Cricetulus griseus: one gene and its partners. The protein of the gene in region 3 interacts with the protein of the main gene of each other region in a biochemical or structural test. Links are inferred from orthologs where the notes say so. Each region holds a gene or a part of one and is shown on either strand. Other genes may lie near its edges.

Region 1 (5,366 bases), on a different chromosome or scaffold from region 3:
GTTTCTCTGTGTAGCCCTGGCTGTCCTAGAACTCACTCTGTAGAACACAGAGATCCATCTGCCTCTGCCTCCTGAGTGCTAAGGACTAAAGGTATGTGCCACCACTGCCCTGCAAATTCTAGCTCCTTTAATCCAATTATTCAGTTAGCAGAAACAGGAGAATTTCTGTGATTCAAGGCCAGCCTGGTTTCCATAGCAAGTTTCAGGACAACCAGGGCTACAAAGAGAGACCCTGTCTCACAAAAACCAAAAAAGTTAGAAAAAAGTGATGATGATGATGCCAGTTGTCCCAGCACTTGGGAGGCAGAGGCAGGCAGATCTTTGAGTTTGAGGCCATCCTGGTCTACAGAGCAAGTTCCAATACAGCTAGGGGTATGCAGAGAGACCCTGTCTCAAAAAGAAACAGAAGACGAAGAGGAGGAGGAGGAGGAGGCAATGGATCACCTAGAACTGGAGTAACAGGATTGAGTGTCACAGTGTGAGTGTTGGAGACTGAACTCTGGTCCTCTGCAAGAATAGTAAACTCTCTTAATTGCTGAGCTATCTCCCAAGCCCCTCTCCCCTCACTAAGTGCTGTTTTAAAAAAGAATGGCAAGATTTAAGTATATTGGGTACTCTGGGGAGTGGATTTAGGAAAGGGCAGAAGCAGGGAAATTGATTTGGGGCCAGTTGTGGTCTTCAGGTAGTAGATAGTAGGTTGGCATGTGGCTGTGAGAATGATTGCTGGTTATAAAAACAAAGGGATAATGAGAAACATGGACTTTCAGAGCTGGAAGACACTCTCCTGGAAGGCTGGCTTCAAACTGTTCTTTAGCATGCACCAACCACATCCAAGCAGGAAAAAAAAAAAAAAAAAAAAAAAAAAAAAAAACGTAAAAAAAATCCCAGCTGTGCACAGAAGTTCAGGTCTGTAATCTCAGCAGCATGCCAGAGGCAGAGCCAGGCAGCCTTCCTGTAAGGTTCAGTCTAGCCTAGTCTATATAGTGAGATCCTGTCTCAAAGTTAACCAACCAACCAAACCACCCCACAAAACAAAAGTCAAAAGGTCACAAATAAGAGAGTCCACAAAGGTCTGCATTTTATACAAAAGCAGGTTAGTTAGCTGAACAAGCAGGACCTTTATTGGATAAATGAAGGGAGGGTTAACAGAGAGATGTATTAGGGGAAGGAAGAACGTGGGGAAGGGGAAGGGGCTGACTGAAAAATAGCAAGAAGGGCAGTGGTGGCGCATGCCGCCTTTAGTTCCAGTACTCGGGAGGCAGAGGCAGGCGGATCTCTGTGAGTTCGAGGCCAGCCTGGTCAACAGAGTGAGTTCCAGGACAGTCAGGGCTTCACAAAGAAACCCTGTCTAGGAACCCTACTACTCCCCCACCCCGGGAGCCCAAATAAACAAGCAATAGCAAGAGTAAGAAAGATGTATGAAAGTCTGAGAGAGGTAAGGAGGTCCTAGGAGAGGCAAGCTAGGAGAAAGAACTAAAAAGGGGGTTAGGGAAGGCAGTGACAGGCACATTGTGTGGTTGGACGGCTAGGCTCTGGAGGGTGCAAACAGACTGAAAGGGAGCAAAAATGCAAAAGGGAGGAATGAGAAACTTTACGTTGGGCAGAAGGATGCCGCCAAACTTTGGGAAGTCTGAGATCCGGTTCTTTAGGGGTGTGTCAAGGACACCTTGGGGAGTCAGAGGCTAGAGTGGGTGGGAGGTGGTGTGAAAAGACACACATAGGACCCCGGAGGCTCAGGATGAGGGAAAGTGTGTCTGGGGAAGGAGGTGAGAGTGGAGGGTAAGCTTGAAACGACACCTGGGGAGGGGAATGTTGGGTGTGGCAGCGACTCTGACCTAGGTTCTACTCTACTCTTTCCTCACCCTGGGAGGAAAGGGTTTCTGTGCTTTCTTCCTTTGGGAAGAAGGAGCCTGGATGTTGGAGGAGGCACTGACAGGCTCGGGTAGTAAGTCCTGTTATCCGTACTGGCCTCAGGGACCAGTATGTGGAGCCGCTGAAGAGCCATGCCTGCGTGGAGGGCTTGAGCCGTGAAGCGGAGGGTTGCCAGACCATGTCTCCGAGGCAGAAATTCCTAGAAGGGTGTAGCACCTGTGATTTTTATCATAACGGGCTAGGGCTCCTGAAGACAGCATTGGCCATGGTAGGAGACTGAAGAAAAAAGGTGAGTGTGGAGGCGAAAGCAGGGCTGGACAAAGAGTACGCGCCGAAACCCGCAGGGAAAGCGCGGCCGGGAGCCCTTCCAGGGCGTCTAGGGGACTGGCTCCGCAGTGACCCAGGCGCACCTGTCTGCAGAAGAAAGGAAGGGGCACTCTGGAGTCCGCAGCGGAGACTCCAGGGACTCGTGCGACGCCCTCACCTACTTCCCATCAGCGGTTAGAGCCAGGCAAATGAAGGGGCGTGACGCTGCGCTCAGGTTTCTTCCTCTTCACCTGGCTGGACAAGGAGGGGGTGGGGGCCAAGACTTCCGGTTCAGGTGAGTGTCCCTTCGGTGACGTCAGGTCACCCTCCACTGCCCCTCTGGTCCCGCCCCGGCTCCCGCGCTCCCGTTGCCTGCGGGAGCGCGTCCCCGACGCCCTACATATATACTCAGGTGCGCCGCACCTGTCCGCCCGCACCTGCTGCTCGCCGCCCAGCTCTCCGCCGAGCACCGCAGCCTGGGCCCGGGGGCCCGCGTACTTTCTGGGGGCCACGCCCTAGCGGCCCCTCCACTTCTTTGGGTAGTCTCTGCGCACGCCGGAGGGAGCCGCCTGGCCTTCGGGGGCCCCTTTTGTCTGGAACCAGTCCTTCGGGCGAAGCCGGTTCCCTCTGCTGTGAGTGTCGCTTCACCGGAGGGGACGATTTGTTTTTACCTCGGTTAACAAGATTTACAGTTAACCGGCCAACCGCTCCCCCCCCCAAAAAAAAACCAAACAAACCCAAAACTTTCTTTTTTCCTGTTTCTGGGTGACTTAAACCTCCGTCCAAATTTTCTTGTGTTGCTTCCCGGATTTTGTTTTACTGTAGGGTCGCCCTCCCGGCGCGTCCCATCTTTTCTGAGACGGAAATGGCCAATTCGGGCCTGCAACTGCTGGGCTTTTCAATGGCCATGCTTGGCTGGGTGGGCCTGATAGCGAGCACTGCCATTCCTCAGTGGCAGATGAGCTCGTATGCTGGCGACAACATCATCACAGCCCAGGCCATGTACAAGGGGCTCTGGATGGAGTGCGTCACGCAGAGTACCGGCATGATGAGCTGCAAAACGTACGACTCAGTGCTCGCCCTGCCGGGTAAGGCCGCGGGACCGACGGGGCGGACGTGCCCGGAGTCAAGGTGGCGGGGTTGGGTGTGGGGCAGGGCTGAGGTCGCACGGCCTGGCGCCCGGGGTTGCCAGGGAGCAGGAAGTGGACGCCTTGAGCCCAGTCGGGTGGGATCCGGAGGAAGAGGGCCTGGGACCCGGCAGTCACACGTGGGCTCACGCCCCTCTGCCCCGCTTGAAGTGGGGAGTCCTGGGAAGAGGCGCCCCTTGCCCCTGGGCAGTCAGTGGTCTCTGTCTGCTGCTTCTTTCTCTGGGACAAACGGGGGTCGGGACGGAGGCGCCTAGGGCCGCAGTGGTGCCCTCGTTAGACGTGGGACCGCACTTGTGGCCTCTAATCTTATCGGCCGATTAGCTGAAGCCACAAACCCGGTGGCCTCGATAGCGAGGGCAGAGCTAGGACACGCGCCGGCCCGTGTGGCTCAAACGAGGGCCCTGGCCGCCACCTGCACTTCCCTTTCGCCCCCTTTCTTCCTCCCTTCCCCCTACCTGGCGCGGTTTCATCGAAACCTCGGCGCCCCGGGCGGGTTCTGAAGCTGGGGCGGGGCGGGGAGCTGGATGGCCGTCGTGGCGGGATGGGGGCGGGAACTGTCTGCCCAAGGACTGTCTTGGACGGAGGGGGCCCCAGGCTGGCGGTGGAGCCCAACTGGCACACTGCGGTCCAGGGGTTAGTGGGCGCGGTTTGCAGCACTTAGGCTGGCGCCATCCTAAGGCTACATGCCATTTCCAGCATTGACCTCCTTCCTCCTCCTCCTCTGCAGCGGCTCTGCAGGCCACTCGAGCCCTAATGGTGGTGTCCCTGGTGTTGGGATTCCTGGCCATGTTTGTCGCCACGATGGGCATGAAGTGTACAAGCTGTGGGGGTGATGACAAAGTGAAGAAGGCCCGTATAGCCATGACCGGAGGCATTGTTTTCATCGTGGCAGGTGAGCCACAGGTCCAACGTGGGATCAAGTGCTCTTTTCCACCCAGAACAGCATGCCAAGGTCTTGGTTTGGACACCCAATAAATAGCAGAATCTTTTTTTCTCTTTCTAGGTCTTGCTGCCTTGGTAGCATGCTCCTGGATTGGTCATCAGATTGTCACGGACTTTTATAACCCCTTGACACCCATGAATGTTAAGTAAGTCTTCTAGGGAGACAAATCTGTGGACTTGGGACAGGGAGGAGGACATCAAGCCCCAGTTGACTCCAATCCTTTCTCTCCACAGGTATGAGTTTGGTCCTGCCATCTTTATTGGCTGGGCAGGGTCTGCTCTGGTCCTCCTGGGAGGTGCCCTGCTCTCTTGCTCCTGTCCTGGCAGTGAAAGCAAAGCTGTATACCGTGCACCCCGCTCCTACCCTAAGTCGAATTCTGCCAAGGAATATGTGTGAGCCGGGTGCTCGGCCTGTGGGCAAGGTGTGGGACAAAGGCCTCCGGGTCACTCCATCCCTGAACACCATGTACAGTCCTGGGGGCGGGGAGGGGGTGGGGGGGTAGAGGAGGGACTGGGAGACTACGACAAAACATAGGGTGTGCTTTTTGTACAGTAATAAAAATTAAGTTTTGGAAATTAGGTGTCTTTTCAGGCCTCCTTTCTCCACACCTGGATCCTCACACAGGAGTTGGCACTGAAGTGTGCCTATAGTAACATCGAACTGAGTGAAGTGCCAGTTGTACCCCTAGGCCTTTAGTCCTTAATTTTTTAGGCTCTTACCCATTCTCCCCAAACTCTTTTTCTCATTAAGTACTATCCTGTGTGGTCAATGCTATATGGGTGTGCATGTGTAGGTCAGAGACAGCTTTGTGGAAGGAGGTCTCTCCTTCTACCTTTCTGTGGGTTCCAGGGATTGAACTCAAGTCACCAGGCTTGTGGCAACTGCCTTTACCTGCTGAGCTATCTCTCCAGCCCCTACCCACAACATATACTTTTCTTTAAGTAGTTACCAAGGAGCTTATTCAACTAATATTCATGTGTATCTGTTTTATTAGAAATAGGCATGGGAAGAGAGAAGTTCCTTATTCTCTTGCTGTACACTATGCTTTCACCACACTTTCTGCCCCAATTAGATGCCACTCCTTGGTTCATAGAACA
Region 2 (6,242 bases), on a different chromosome or scaffold from region 3:
GGGCTAAGGGGTTGGTCACTTTGCTGTGCCTACTTGGGAGCTCCTTGACCTGATCTGGAAGATCTGCAGATATACTGACAGGGCAGATCGTCATCATGAATAACTCATGTGACTTCTGAGAGCTGGCAGTTTAGGGACACCTGATTGTAAGATCAGGACTGTGGGGCAGAGAGTCCAGACCAGGAAGGCGGCCATTACTAATGCACAAAGAATGCTATGAGACCTTCATGGGCATATCTTTCTGTTGCTGGGAGAGTCTGCCTTGGTTCAGGATACAGCCTTGAGAGATTTATTCATTTACATTCTCCATGCTGCTGAGAGTCTTGGTCTTTGCCCTGGAGGAGCTTATTGTCTAGTGGAAGAGACAGGAACTAATCTCTTCAGTGAATGTACAGAGGTAAACTGAGGTAAACCTACTGGGAGTATATGTAAATGATGGAAGCTCTGCAAGAAGCTATCTGCTTTTCCCAGTGAGACCAGCACAATTTTGCATCTTCTGTTTCTTTTTTCCTTTTAGTTATCTGCCAGAGCTTGGGCATACTTTTCCATACACACTGGGCTTTCTCTTTTCCTCTGAAGCCCCTTCTGCCATGCAGCTGCTTGTCTGCCATGTGTTTGGATGCTGCCCTCTGTTACTAAAGCTGCCTTCTTTCTTAAAGGCATGGCTTTCTCTTTTCCCACTTCTGCCAACATATTTCCATTTCCCTCCTCCTGGCAACTGCTGAGATTGACAGTTTGTCTGCCATGTTGTTTTCCCCCTCAAACTCTAATAAAATTGTTTTAAAGCTTCCTTCTGAGTCCATTTATAAATTCTTGTATTAATGAAACTGAAGACCCCAGAGAAGGAACCTCAATTTCCTCAGCAACAATCTTCAGCTACTTAGTGAGTTCAGGACCAGCTTGGGCTACTTAGACCTATGGACCAGCCTGGGCTACTTAAACCCTGTCTCAAAAAACAAACAAACAACAACAAAAAACATGTTATAAGATTATTGCATGTGGAGAAAGGAGGCAAGCAGTTTGTTTACTATGTATTTTTAGTGAGGCAAAGTCTCGCTATGCAACTGAAGCTGATCTTGAACTCATGGCAATCCTCCTGCCTCAGCCTCACAAGAGCTGACTCTAGCACAGTGATTCTCAACCTTCTTAACACTGCAGCCCTTTAATATAGTTCCTCATGTTGTAGTGACCCCCCAGCCATAAAAGAAGTTTCATTGCTACTTCGTAACTGTAATTTTGCTACTGTTATGAGTCAGGATATGCATGTAAATATGTAAATGTCTATGTTTTCTGATGGTCTTAGGTGACCCCTGTGAAAGGGTCATTTGACTCCAAAAGGATCTCCACCCACAGGTTGACAGTCACTGCCCTGGTGCCTTTTCTTTTTCTTGAGTAATTTGGAGCGCCTCTCCCTTCTGCCCTCAAAACCTTAAAAATTTCTGTGTTAAAACTTTGTGTGGGCTGTGTCATGGAGGAGGTGCATTGCTTTACAGTCCCAGGACCCCCAAAGTAAATCATTCTCAATAAAGGCTTTCCCTTCCATTCATTTTCTCCAGTTGGGAAGGTCTGGGAATGCTAAGAGTGCCCTCAGTGTCCATTTCTCCCCCACACCCTTCCCCACCTGGATTCTGTCCCTCCTGCGCATCCCCTCCCTTCAGCTGCCCGGGTTTTCTGGCTTCCTAGAGCTTCTACTATCTCCGAGAGGGACTTTGCCAAGTTTACTTGGCCCAGAGCCCCGCAGGGAGGTTGAATTGGATATGATTGCATTTCTGTCTGGCACACCTGAGGTTCCTCCCACCAGCTCATTGCTGGGCTCCAGTAGAGACCAGCAGAAGGCATGAGGAAGCTGCATTGGTTGTCCTTCAATTTGCTTGGAACAAAAATCTCCCTCCCAAGTTCCAGGAGTCAGAGTACACCTGGAACACATTCCATTTACTGACTCTAAGCTTAGGCGATGTGGCCCAGGAAGTTGGCCTGTGAATGGCCCTGGCTCTATCCCACAGCCTGTCTCCTATGGGTTCTTGGATTGGCACACTAAAAACCTATTTAAAGGTTGCTAATGCTCTGTTGGTAGAGTGCTTGCCTAGCATACATGAAGCCCTGAGTTCCAGCCCACACTGCATAAAACCAGGCCCAGTGGCTAGCCTTTGTATGCAAGAAGTGGAGATAGAAGGATCAGAAATCAAGGTCCTCAGCCGGGCCTTGGTGGCTCACTCCTTTAGTCCCAGCACTCGGGAGGCAGAGGCAGGCAGATCTCTGTGAGTTCGAGACCAGTCTGGTCTACAAGAGCTAGTTCCAGGACAGCCTCCAAAGCCATAGAGAAACCCTGTCTCAAAAAGCCAAAAAAAAAAAAAAAAAAAAAGAAAAAAAGAAAAAAAAAGAAAAAAATCATGTTTAAGTCCCTCCTCCTTTCTTTTCTCTCTTGGTGCTGGGGATTGAATCCAGATCTCACACGTTAGACAAATGCTATACCACCAAGTCACAACCTGGCTAGAAGTCCTTTCTCAAATAGGCAGTACATCTACACAGTATGAAGTTCAGAAGGACAGAAAGCTACACAGTGGGAAGCCCAGAAAGTAAACCTCCTCTGTCTGTCCAGCCCTCAGTACCTTCACTCCAGAGACATGACTGCTGTATCAGTATCAGTTTAAGTGCCCTCCCAGAGATGGATGCCACATTTTGTGATCTATATGTTTTAATAAACTCTGCAATAGGGGGCTTCTTTTTTTAAGGGAGTTGGAGGAATCAGATAGGCAAGGTTGGGCATCCACCTTTACATGGGAGAGACCCTTGGCTGTGTTGTATGTGAAGATCAGTAGACATCCTCAAAGTCTTAATAAGCCACAATCCCCAGGATTACATCACAGGAAATAAATTATTTTGGGTCTGTGGGCCTCAAAGTATATTACCTGTTTTATTTATATTTTTTTCCTTTTATGTTAGAAGGACCTATACATACTAGGCAAGCTGTCTACTAACGAACTACCTTCCTAGCCTTCAAAGTGTGCTATCTGGACTGGGAGTATCAGCATCACCCGAGAGAAGTTGCTGAGGAATTCAAATTCTCAGGTCCAGCTCCAGGACTAATAAGTCAGAAACTGGGGTAGACTCCCATATACTGCATTTCTATAGAAGAAACAGACAAGGTAGTCAACGTCCTTAAAGCTGGGTGTCTACTTCAGGCTCCTCAGCTAAAAACTGTTTTCTTTATCTTCTAGGACCCCTTCTCCTACATGTGGAGCAGGCACACATGATGGCTGATCCTCGGGGTCCTGTAGACCATGGAGTCCAAATTCGCTTTATCACAGAGCCGGAGGGTGCTACTGAGATGGGTACCCTTCGTCGCGGTGGGAGACGCCCTCCTAAGGATGCAAGAGCCAGTACCTATGGGGTCGCTGTGCGTGTGCAGGGCATTGCTGGACAGCCTTTTGTGGTGCTTAACAGTGGAGAGAAGGGGAGTGACTCCTTTGGGGTCCAAATCAAGGGGGGCAACAACCGGGGGTCCCCAGGAACACCGAGCTCTGATCCAGAGATCCCTGAGAACCCCTACTCTCAATTCAAGGGGGTTCCTGCCGCTTCTCAGGGCAGCACATCTGATGAGGAGCTCAAGGACCACTGGAATGGAAGACTGCTCCGATCCCAGTCGCAAGCCTCTCTGACAGGGCTTGCTTCTGTGAGTCCTACCAATAGGAGCACCAGCTTGTTGGAGCTAGCCCCTGAAAAGACTCCCCCGGTTAACACCATTGACACTGCCCCCTTGTCTTCAGTGGACTCACTCATCAACAAGTTTGATAGTCAAATCGGGGGCCAGGGCCGGGGCCGGATTGGCCGCCGCACGCGGACGCTTCCTCATGAACAGCGCAAGCGGAGCCAGAGTCTGGACAGCCGGCTGTCACGGGATACCCACGATCGGGATCGGGAACACCAGTCCCCCAACCACTGGACCCCTGGCACAAAGTATGACAACCAAGTGAACAGTTCAAAGCAGCCATCCAAGAGCCAGAGCCCTCTCAGCAGCTTTAGCCGTTCCCGGCAGACTCAAGACTGGGTCCTACAGAGCTTTGAGGAACCACGGGAGAAAATACCGGATCCCACCACGGTGCAGGTCAGAAGTCATCCCTCCCCACTGCCAACCCTCAGCTTTGCATCAGCCCACGGAATCCTTTGTTAATTCAGGGCAGATAGTCTCTGCCTTTTGTTCTCCATCTTATCCACTTAGGTGACATACATTCATGGGTAAACTTCTAAGGAAAATGGAAATGAGCATGGAGAAATTAGTCATTCTTCAGTCATCGGCAAAGGTTAATTCTTTAGGTCCAGCACCTTTTGTAATGCAGGCTTGGAGGGTATGGAAGCTCCCCTAATAGTTCAAGTCCACGCTTTCTCCTGGTGGGGAGACAAACTTAAGTGCGTTCTGGAACTCTGTGTGCATTTATAAATTCCAGCACATCTGTTGGTGTTAGTGACATAGCTCCCAGCTGGTTATTGAGAAAAGTGATTTGCATTGATAGCACACAGTGTGTCCTGAGCAGCATTGTTAGTTATGCTGAGTTAGGCTTCGCCTCTCCGCTGTCACCTGTGTTCCATTTGAACCACATATGTACTCTGGCGTCTTCTCTCCTTCCTTTTTTCCCCTTCGTTTCTCCTACAGTTCAAATCAACTCCAGACCTTCTCCGAGACCAGCGGGAGGCAGCACCGCCAGGCAGCGCGGACCATGTGAAGGCCACCATCTATGGCATCCTAAGGGAGGGGTGAGTGGGGTCCCCCCGGTAGTGGGACATACACTTCCTTTCTTGTCCCTCTGCCTTCCCTTCCCATCTCTTTCCTCATCTTCCCTCCCCTCTGTTCACTGTTGCTTCTGTCCTTCTGTCCTCCAGAAGCTCAGAAAGTGAAGCAGCTGTAAGGAGGAAAGTTAGTTTGGTGTTGGAGCAGATGCAGCCTGTGGGGGTGAGTGACCTTCCTGGGGTCAAGACTTGGGCCAGGAGGCCTCTAGGGGTTTGGACTCACTTCCCGCCCCCTTGTCTCCTATACCTCTGGCAGATGGTTTCTCCTGCTTCTACTAAGGCCCTGGCAGGGCAGGGTGAGCTTACCCGAAAAGTGGAGGAGCTCCAGAAAAAGCTGGATGAGGAGGTGAAGGTAAGGCAGGCTAGAGGTGTGGGAGAGGTGAAGGGCCACAGGGAAGATGAATGTCCTGGGGACGAGCTAGACTGGCTCTTTTGTATGTGTGTATGTGTGTGTATGTGTGTGGGGGTGTCTTGCTGAGTAACCCTGGCTGTCTTTGTAGTCACAGAGATCTTCTTCGATTTGTGGACTCAGAGGCATGAGCCACCATGCCCATCTGGCCTGGGTCTCCTGAGTCGGTGCTGTCTCTATGTGTGAGACAGGAAGTCAGTGTCCCAGCAAGGCCTTTGAGTTTCTCTGGGACTTAATGGGTGGAACACATTAGAGGTCTAATTACTTCCTTTTCGTTTTCCCTAGGAGTCCTTGTCCAGGGTCTGCTATTGACTGCTTGTAAAAAGCTTAGAAACTTTCCTTTGTTCTCTGTCCAGGGGTGTAGCTGAGTTGATAGAATACTCACTCTGCATGCATAAAATGTCCCAGGTTCAATCCCTAGTGTGACTACAACCAACTGTGGTACTTGCTTATAAGCCCAGCACTCAGGGAGTAAAGGCAGGAGGATCAAAAATTCAAGGTCCTCTCTGGCTATTTATCACATTTGAAGACAGACTGGGTCACATGAAACCATGTCTCAAAAAAAAAAAGAAAGAAAGAAAATTACTTACATTCTAAGTGTCTTGAGTCTTTTTCTCATCATCATTATGATGGTAATGATAATAATGTCATTTTTTGAGTATAATTTTTATGGCAGATGCTGCCCTGGGTAATACATAATCATTACAGTGGCTGTGCAAGTATGCTATGGATCTTTTCTGATGAGAGACCCTGAACATCAGAGATGTTAAGGGAATTGCTTGTGGTAGTAAGCTGTAGAGAAAGGATGAAACAGTGCATCCACTCTTCCTCTAAAACTTATGGACACTTTTTTATTTTTTCTTTTCTTTTTGGGGTTGGAAGGGCAGAGTCTCAAAAAGACTGGCCCTGAGCCGGGCGTTGGTGGCACATGCCTTTAGTCCCAACACTCGGGAGTCAGAGGCAGGCAGATCTCTGTGAGTTCAAGACCAGCCTGGTTTACAAGAGCTAGTTCCAGGACAGCCTCCAAAGCCACAGAGAAACCCTGTCC
Region 3 (7,599 bases):
AGAGAGAGAGAGAGAAGTAAATAAGTATAAACTAAAATTGGGATTGATAGCCATACGTATGTATGCATGCATGTATGTATGTATGTATGTAGACAGGTCACCCTATATAGCCCTGGCTGTCGTGGAAACATGTAGACAAGCTGGCCTCAGAATCACTGAGGTCCTCCTGCCCCAGCCTCTGTCCTCTGCTATGGCTAAAGATGTGCACACCATGCCCAGCTTGTTTAAGGATTCTAGAAACTTGACAAGTCACGGAAAGTTTCTTCCCCATTTTGCTCAGCTCTGTGACATATGAAAGTCCTGAAGCCATTCGCAGACTCTTTAGTGATGTGGTCTGGTCAAAACATCCAATGATGATACCTGCTAATAGTGTTGGGGTGTGTGTGTGTGTGTGTGTGTGTGTGTGTGTGTGTGTGTGTGTGTGTGTGTGTACGTATTCTTCTGTTGCGTTATCAAGATCACCTTATGGTGCCCAACATTTCCTCTTTCCTTTTCAAAAGTAAACTCACAGCTCTTACCAAAAGTAACACTAATAAAGTTTTTTTTTTAGAGATTGTTGTTGTTTTTTTGTTTTGTTTTTACAGTGGAAACAAAAATCCACATATGTAAAATGTAAGTGTAGGTATAGTTCATTGAGTCAGGGCTGTTTTATTAAGTAAGTCTAAGATTTCTAAAGACTCTGAATGCTTAGTGCTTCTTGCATTCTGACCACAGACACCAGAAATCCCACAGGAAGTTGTGCTTCTGAGTGTTGTGGTTTTTAGTTTCCTGTTCCTCTGCATTAGATCAGAAAGAAATCTGTACACAAAGGGAAATTCTTGGTTGAACTTTCTTGTAACTCTAAATGAGATTCTCTAACTCACTTGGATTTCTTCCCTTTTGATTTAAACCTAGAGAAAATGTAGCCACATTCATCTGTACTCATTAATGTCATGGTACACTTTGAAAACTTTTTGGTGTTCAGTGGATAAACTCTTATTCAAGTTAAGGGTGTGTCTCAGAGATTATGCTATATTCTGTCCACTCCAGTTTATCTGGGGAAAGGTCATATTGAAGCACCTTCCCACAGATAAACTGTAGGGCGGCAGAGCTAGATTCCTGACAACAGTGTTTTTCTTTAAAATTATTTTCTGATTTCTTTATTTTTATTAGCATACAAATTAATAGGTGTCACTATGGCAGCTTAATTTCTATAAATGATAGGAACTTCCCTTGCTATTTGGAGAAGATACACAAATATAGTTTGGTTTAGATATTAAGAATATCTGTTCAATTTACCTAGTGTAACATTTAGTTCAATTTAGATAATGTAATTCCATTATTCAAAATACCATTGGAAAATTTTAAAATGTTATGTTAACTGGAAATTTTTGATACACTTTTTAAAGCAAAGTATTATGAAAGTGAAACGTTTTTATTGATTTCATTTTTTTAAAGCCATGACAAAAATTAGATCAATCAGGTATACTGGATTTGAGACAAGTTGCAGATATCTAACATTTAATTCATACAGTGGGAGACATGATAGAAGATTGTCCAAAGAGAAAAGAGGAAGAGTATGTGCATAACACACCCCATCTGCCTCTAGGCAGGTTTGCAGAATGCATTTTATTAAAAGTTAACGCACTGATGTGAAAGACCTTCAATAACCACTTTCTAAAAATACAAAACATCTAAGTGTTTTGTGATGCTGTTTTCTCAGAGGAAAAATTTAATCACTCTTCTTAAGAGAACACAGGGCACTTTGCCTTTGAAACAATCACATGCAATATGACTAAAACAAAAAAAATGACTTTAATTGGTTTCTTTCATGGCAAGAAATAGGGTTTGGTTTGCATAATTTTTTTTTCTAGTTCAACTAGCTTAGAGTTGCAAAACACATGATTTTGAAATCTTAATTGTCATATACAGATATTTCTTAGAAGTAAGTTTGATTCTGTCACGTAGCTGAATTCTAAAAACTATTGTTTAACCCTATGTTCATGCCCCACTCTACCTTGCCTGGCCATCGTAGCATTATAATAGGTACTTTAAGGATGTTATTTAATGTTACTAAAAATTCTTGATATCTGTGAAGAGCTTTGCAGTATACAGAGTGTAACTTAATGAAGCTCGAAGTGGTTTTCTACCTATTTTTCCTGTTCATCAAGGTAGCTAGCTGGCCTAAGTTTGCGCGGTGGCCGATTGAACTGGTGGTGAGTTCCGCATGTACTTACATACTTTTTTGTCCAGCTTGAGCTGGAGGGCATGGTTTTCAGAAAGGCAGGCAGCCTGGTCTATCTCTTCAGGGGCCAAGAATTTCAGCAATCTTGATAGCCCAAAAATGTCTAGGGAGGCATGAGAAAGAAAGTGGCTGGGATTATCTCTGGATGCCTAGATCTGTAACTTGGTTTATTTAAGGCAGTTGGCTTGTTCTGAGCCTGCTAGAGCGCTTCTGATGTACTTCAAACAAAAACACATCTCTCTTCAATAGGGTAACAATGCCCAGACACGTGGTGACAGTTGTGACCATTGTTACTTGCGAGGTTAAGGAAACCACAGTCAGGTATTGGCCAGGCTCGCCTTTCCTGCCACACTCCTGCGTGGGACTGATCTGGGGTGGCTGGCTTAGGAAGAGAGTAGACAAGTCTCCGTAGGGAGTTGAAAAGCTTAGGTACATAGAGGTGTGGGCTTCTCCGGGGCGAATTCTGCCGGATCTTTCATAGAAGCAAACAGGATGGCTCGCGCGGCAGCGGAAACCGCCTAGCAAGTTACTTGGAGAGCTGAGCTTTTCCTTCCGCGCGGGGGTCGGAGCCGGCCTGGCCCCGCCCCTCGCCGAGGCCCCGCCCCCGCCGGCTGGGCATGCTCAGTGGCCCGGTCCGGCAGGTTTTGCGTGGCTGCTTGAGTTGCCCGCGACGGCTCTGCCCGCCGACGGCACGTCTCTCGGCGGCCACGCGTTCCGGGGAAGTTACGTGCGGGAGCAGGTTTCTGAGGAGACGCCCGAGGGCGGAGGGGACGGCCGGGGGTCTCGGTCCTGCGGAGCGGCGAGCGGGCCGAGGGCGGCGGAGGCCGAGCAGGCGGCCGGGTGTGCCCCGCGGAGAAGCCCGGGCGGGGCGGACGCTTCCCGGACTTTTGTCCCACTTGAATCCCCTCCCCGTGGGCCGGGCCTTTCCGGCCGCCCCCGCCCCTGCCCCGCTCGTCCCCGGGAGATGTTTATGCGGACGGTGGCGTGAGGAGCGGGCGGGCGGGCCGGCGGCGCGGAGTTTCGGGTCCGAGGAGCCTCGCGCGGCGCCGAGAGAGACAAGATGTCCGCCAGGGCCGCGGCCGCTAAGGTGAGGGCTCACGGCCCGCCGGGCTGCGGGCGGGGCGGTGGAGGACCCGGGGCCCTGCGGGGGGCCTCGCCCCGCCCTCCCCGCGGGCGGCAGCCGGGGGCGACGGTGGCGGGGCGGGGAGGCAGGGAAGGAAGGCGGGCTGGAGACGCGCCTGCCGCCCGGGCAGGTGCACGGCTGCCGGTGCCTGGCTCCGGCTCGCGCTGGGAGGCGACGTGCAACAGGTCTCGCGCCTGGAAAGTCGCCCCGGGTGAGGATTCTCATGTCTCCGAGAGCGTGTCTGCTGAGACCCAGGGGTGTCACCTGCAGCAGGCCGGTGGGTAGCTCGGGCTGTCTCCGGAGGAGTGGTTGGTACCCGGCGAAACCCTGTAGTTTCGATCTGATGTCACCCGCTGCGGTATGCGCAATGGCAGCGATAAAGCTTTGAGACAGCAAAACACTCAGCTCGAGAGTAGCTAAGATTTTTTTTTTTTTTAGCTTTAATATTTATGTGAGGCATCAGAGGAGGAAAGTTCTTAACACTTTAATTTCAACTTTCAAAAGTATCACAAAGTGTCCCTGCACATGGACAATAAGATGGACTCAACAACAGAAAATACCCGATGAATTCTGCACAAAACAACGTTCCGGTCCATTTCCCCGTGTGTTTTGAAGTGTGTTTCTTGACACAGCATGCCTTATGTTATTAAGTACTACATTAAGCCAAAAAATTTTAAAAATCGAGTTAGAATTCTTCCCATTTATGCATTTTAGTACTTGGTCTTTCAAACAATGATAGGAACACAAAATGTGATGAGTGAAAAAACTCCCTTTAAAAAAAAATCCATTACTCAAACAACTTAAAACAGGTGGTGATTTTATATATTTTTCTATTAGAAATACTTAATCATAACCTTAGGGAGCAGATAGAAGGAAGCGCCTGAATTCTTAATAGGACCTTGTCTTTTGGCTGGCAGTAGTTAGCGGTTACAGTTAGTAGTGAATAGATTGTTTTAAGGAATGGAGTATTCCTCCCTTAGTAATAATGCTTGTATCTTATTTGAAGGCACATTGATGACCGATCTAAAACGTAAGCCTGGGACCAAAAACTAGAATCAGTGCAACATTTTGTTACTTATAAAACATAAAACTTGTTATTTACCTTTGCTGGGACTTCCTGGGAAGAAAGGCTTTGTTGCCATATTACACAGAATGTCACTTTGTTTCGAAGTGTGAGCCCTGGTACTTGTTATTCAAGACAACACAGTTGGAAAGTGTTATTACTAGAGAAGTGTTTCCAATAGCTTGCTATGGCAAGGTGATTTAGAAGGTGTGCTTACACATAAATTATGATATTGAGATTTTTATGGAACATGGCAATGCTTCTCTAGTCAAATATTTGCATGCTTAGCTGGTAATTGAAGAATTATTTTCTTGGATGCTGTATTGGGGCACACTTTGAAGTCTACATAAAGCTAGAACCCACCATAAGTGAACAGGTAAATGCAGTGCTAACCAGTTGTTTCCCTAAGTCACATTTATTGTTTTGCTTAAGAGCTCAACTCTGTCAGTGCTTTACATAGGGTGCTTTTGTTTTTCCCACCCCTGTTAAAATATTTTACAGACACTAATTTTGCAGCACAACAGTTGTAGAGCTTGTGTATAAGCCAATGCTTTTGATTCTGTATTCTTGTAATGGTTGAGTAATTTTCATCTTGCTGCTCAGGTCATCATTGCCTTTTTGAGGAGATGTTTGGCTTGTTTCCAGGATATTGTTACTGCAATGAGTACACTTTAAATAATTGTATTTACATTTTTGTATCTGTCCACTTACTACTGTATGGCAAATTCTTAAAAATGAAATTGCTATGTCAAAGAGTTCATTTGAAATTCTGATATACCCATTAAAATCTTCCTCCAGAGCCTATACTTAAGAATAAATACAACAAATGATGGTTTGTTACCCAAATCTAGGGGAATCAAACTCTGGGTGAAGAGAGTCAGAACCTACCCATGGTCCCTGAATTGATGTGTAAGTGCAGTGCAGTTCCAAGTAGAATTCCAGTGTGGTATTATAGAAAACATGATAGTTTGATGTTTATCTTACCACATAAATGAATGGAGGGAGAAAGTCCTTTCAGATAATCTAATGTATTATAAATTCAGAGTAATTTAAAGTAGGCTATTGCTTCAGGAATAGAGAATGGCGCCACACAGCCATAAATAAATAATACTTATTATTCAGAAATAAATAAATAGTACTTATTTATTGGCTGTTAGTGTTTGTGATCAACTTTTAATATGTACTGTGGTTGTTTTGTGTTGGTAATTCACTTAATTCTCACAGTAATGCTGTGAAAGTGGAAATAGTTTGCACTCTTAGCCCAACAAAAGGGAAAACTGAATATATGTCAAAATAAGAATAGATTATTGGGAAAGGATCCTTTATTCAATAAATAAGACTACTAAGGCGGGTATCTTTTTTTAAAAAAAATGTTTCTTTTATGTAACAAAATCCAGAAGAATCTTTGTTGTAGTTGTTATTTATTGTGGGTGTCTGATGGGAATGCACACATGCTGTGGCAACCCAGTGGATGACAATTTTGTGGCTTTGGTCAGTCTAGCATCTGTGAGTTACAACCACCTTTATCCACTAAGCCATCCTTCCTTCGATGCTCCTCATGAAGTTTTAAGTGTTTGAAAAAAATAACTGAAAAAGCACTAGGAGAAATGTGTAGGGAGACATAAGCTCTTGAGCTCACAACACATGCCTGAGTACTACGTGTACACACACACACACACACACACACACACACACACACACACACACACACACGTTTGAAAAGGGATTCTCTGTGCATGATGTTCAGTAAATAAAGGAAAAAGCCTTTTATCTGTATGATGCGTATCTGAATTTGCATTGAATTTTGCTTACTAGTGTACTTGGTAACAGCTATTTGGAAGTTGAAAACAGAAATTTGGGGATGGTTCTCTGCCTTACCAAATAATTGTTTAACTAGGTAAGAAAATAGTATTAATTATTAGGAACATTTTCATTGGCTGACCCATCAACAGTTACTGAAGGGAGTTGAATGGTTTCTGGAATTTCAAGTTGTATCACTTTGGAGAAACAGTAAAAATTATTGTGCCTTCCTTGGCTAGCTTATTGTTTTGCTGTGTAATGAAATGTTTGTGTCGGAGAAACAGTTTTGTTTTTGCTAGTGGCTATGTCTGAAATAATGTAGATGGGTATAAAAATGATTTATACTTTTCTTTTTTAAACCATTGCTCTGTTTATTGTGAGGGTTCTCAGGAATCTTTATCAAGTGAGGCACAGTTAGTTTTTTTAGTAGCTGAACATTTTTGAATTTTAACTGCAGAAAATAGCTAATGTTCAAAACTTATTCCACCAGTCTTTATGGATAGGGATTGTTTGCTGAGGAACTATTAAACAATTTTAGTTTGGTACTTAACTGATCAGTGAGTATTTGCTTCATATACTTCAAGAGTAAAGTAAAAACTCACTTGAGGCTCAAGATTTTCACTTTATTGAGTCTGCCACCATTTATGATCTTTGTTCTACTGATACCCCTCCCCCCCTCAGTTTGTACAGTAGTTTTCACCAGGATGTAGAATTTTAGACACAGGCTTTTAAGTATGTAGGTGTTCAGCCTTTTAGATGCTGTTCATTAAAGCTTTACTTCATGTAAATTGGTTGGTAGTCCTCATTATATTATGTAGCTTCATAACTTACTGATACAGTGCCATTTTCCCCAATAGATGTTTCCATGGCAGGAGCTTGTAAAGTGAACTTTTATTTCAGATTTGAGGAAGACTTCATGCTGCCTCTGGCTTGCTGTAGTGATAGTGTTAGCCCAACTCACCAATAGTAAGGAGCATGTGTTGGGTATTTATAGAACTGCTTCTATAAATTACAATAGCTTCACTTTTTTTTTTTTAAATCCTAGAATTGGGATTCTGCCTCTGACTTACCTGCTCTGTAATCCTTTTCTATTTAGAGACCTAATGTAAGTTCAATACAGTTGTTAAGAATAAATCAGAATAAATAAAATCACTCTAAATTTCATTTAGAGAAATGGCTTTTTTAGAAAAACCTATTTAAAAACTTTTCTGGTGGGTGTCTTTTAAAATAATAATTTTGATGAAAATTTAGGAGATACAATTTTGTTTCTTGGTTTAGCTTTAATGTGTTAATAATTCAATCTTCTGAAAGACAAGAGTCAGCTTTAAATTCCTGTGACATCCATCCTCATGTGTCTCAATGCAGAACATCCCAGGCCTGCTAGCTTTC

The links. The genes of interacting proteins can lie anywhere in the genome.
Region 1: the proteins of Tjp1 (region 3) and Cldn7 form a complex in vitro, tested with the Homo sapiens proteins (2 studies listed by BioGRID and IntAct, with this or other methods). The link is inferred for Cricetulus griseus from reciprocal best matches to the Homo sapiens genes TJP1 and CLDN7.
Region 2: the proteins of Tjp1 (region 3) and Cgn form a complex in vitro, tested with the Homo sapiens proteins (2 studies listed by BioGRID and IntAct, with this or other methods). The link is inferred for Cricetulus griseus from reciprocal best matches to the Homo sapiens genes TJP1 and CGN.

What each region holds. Positions count from the first base shown.
Region 1 is NC_048600.1:83,813,534-83,818,899, forward strand, and holds Cldn7 (claudin-7), read left to right. Parts: upstream 1-3,043; coding exon 3,044-3,266; intron 3,267-4,053; coding exon 4,054-4,218; intron 4,219-4,329; coding exon 4,330-4,414; intron 4,415-4,502; coding exon 4,503-4,665; downstream 4,666-5,366. UniProt on the Homo sapiens protein: Plays a major role in tight junction-specific obliteration of the intercellular space.
Region 2 is NW_023276806.1:61,736,823-61,743,064, forward strand, and holds the start of Cgn (cingulin), read left to right. Parts: upstream 1-3,241; 5' UTR 3,242-3,250; coding exon 3,251-4,105; intron 4,106-4,651; coding exon 4,652-4,752; intron 4,753-4,878; coding exon 4,879-4,948; intron 4,949-5,041; coding exon 5,042-5,137; intron 5,138-6,242. UniProt on the Homo sapiens protein: Probably plays a role in the formation and regulation of the tight junction (TJ) paracellular permeability barrier.
Region 3 is NC_048596.1:131,896,200-131,903,798, forward strand, and holds the start of Tjp1 (tight junction protein ZO-1), read left to right. Parts: upstream 1-2,868; 5' UTR 2,869-3,284; coding exon 3,285-3,311; intron 3,312-7,599. UniProt on the Homo sapiens protein: TJP1, TJP2, and TJP3 are closely related scaffolding proteins that link tight junction (TJ) transmembrane proteins such as claudins, junctional adhesion molecules, and occludin to the actin cytoskeleton.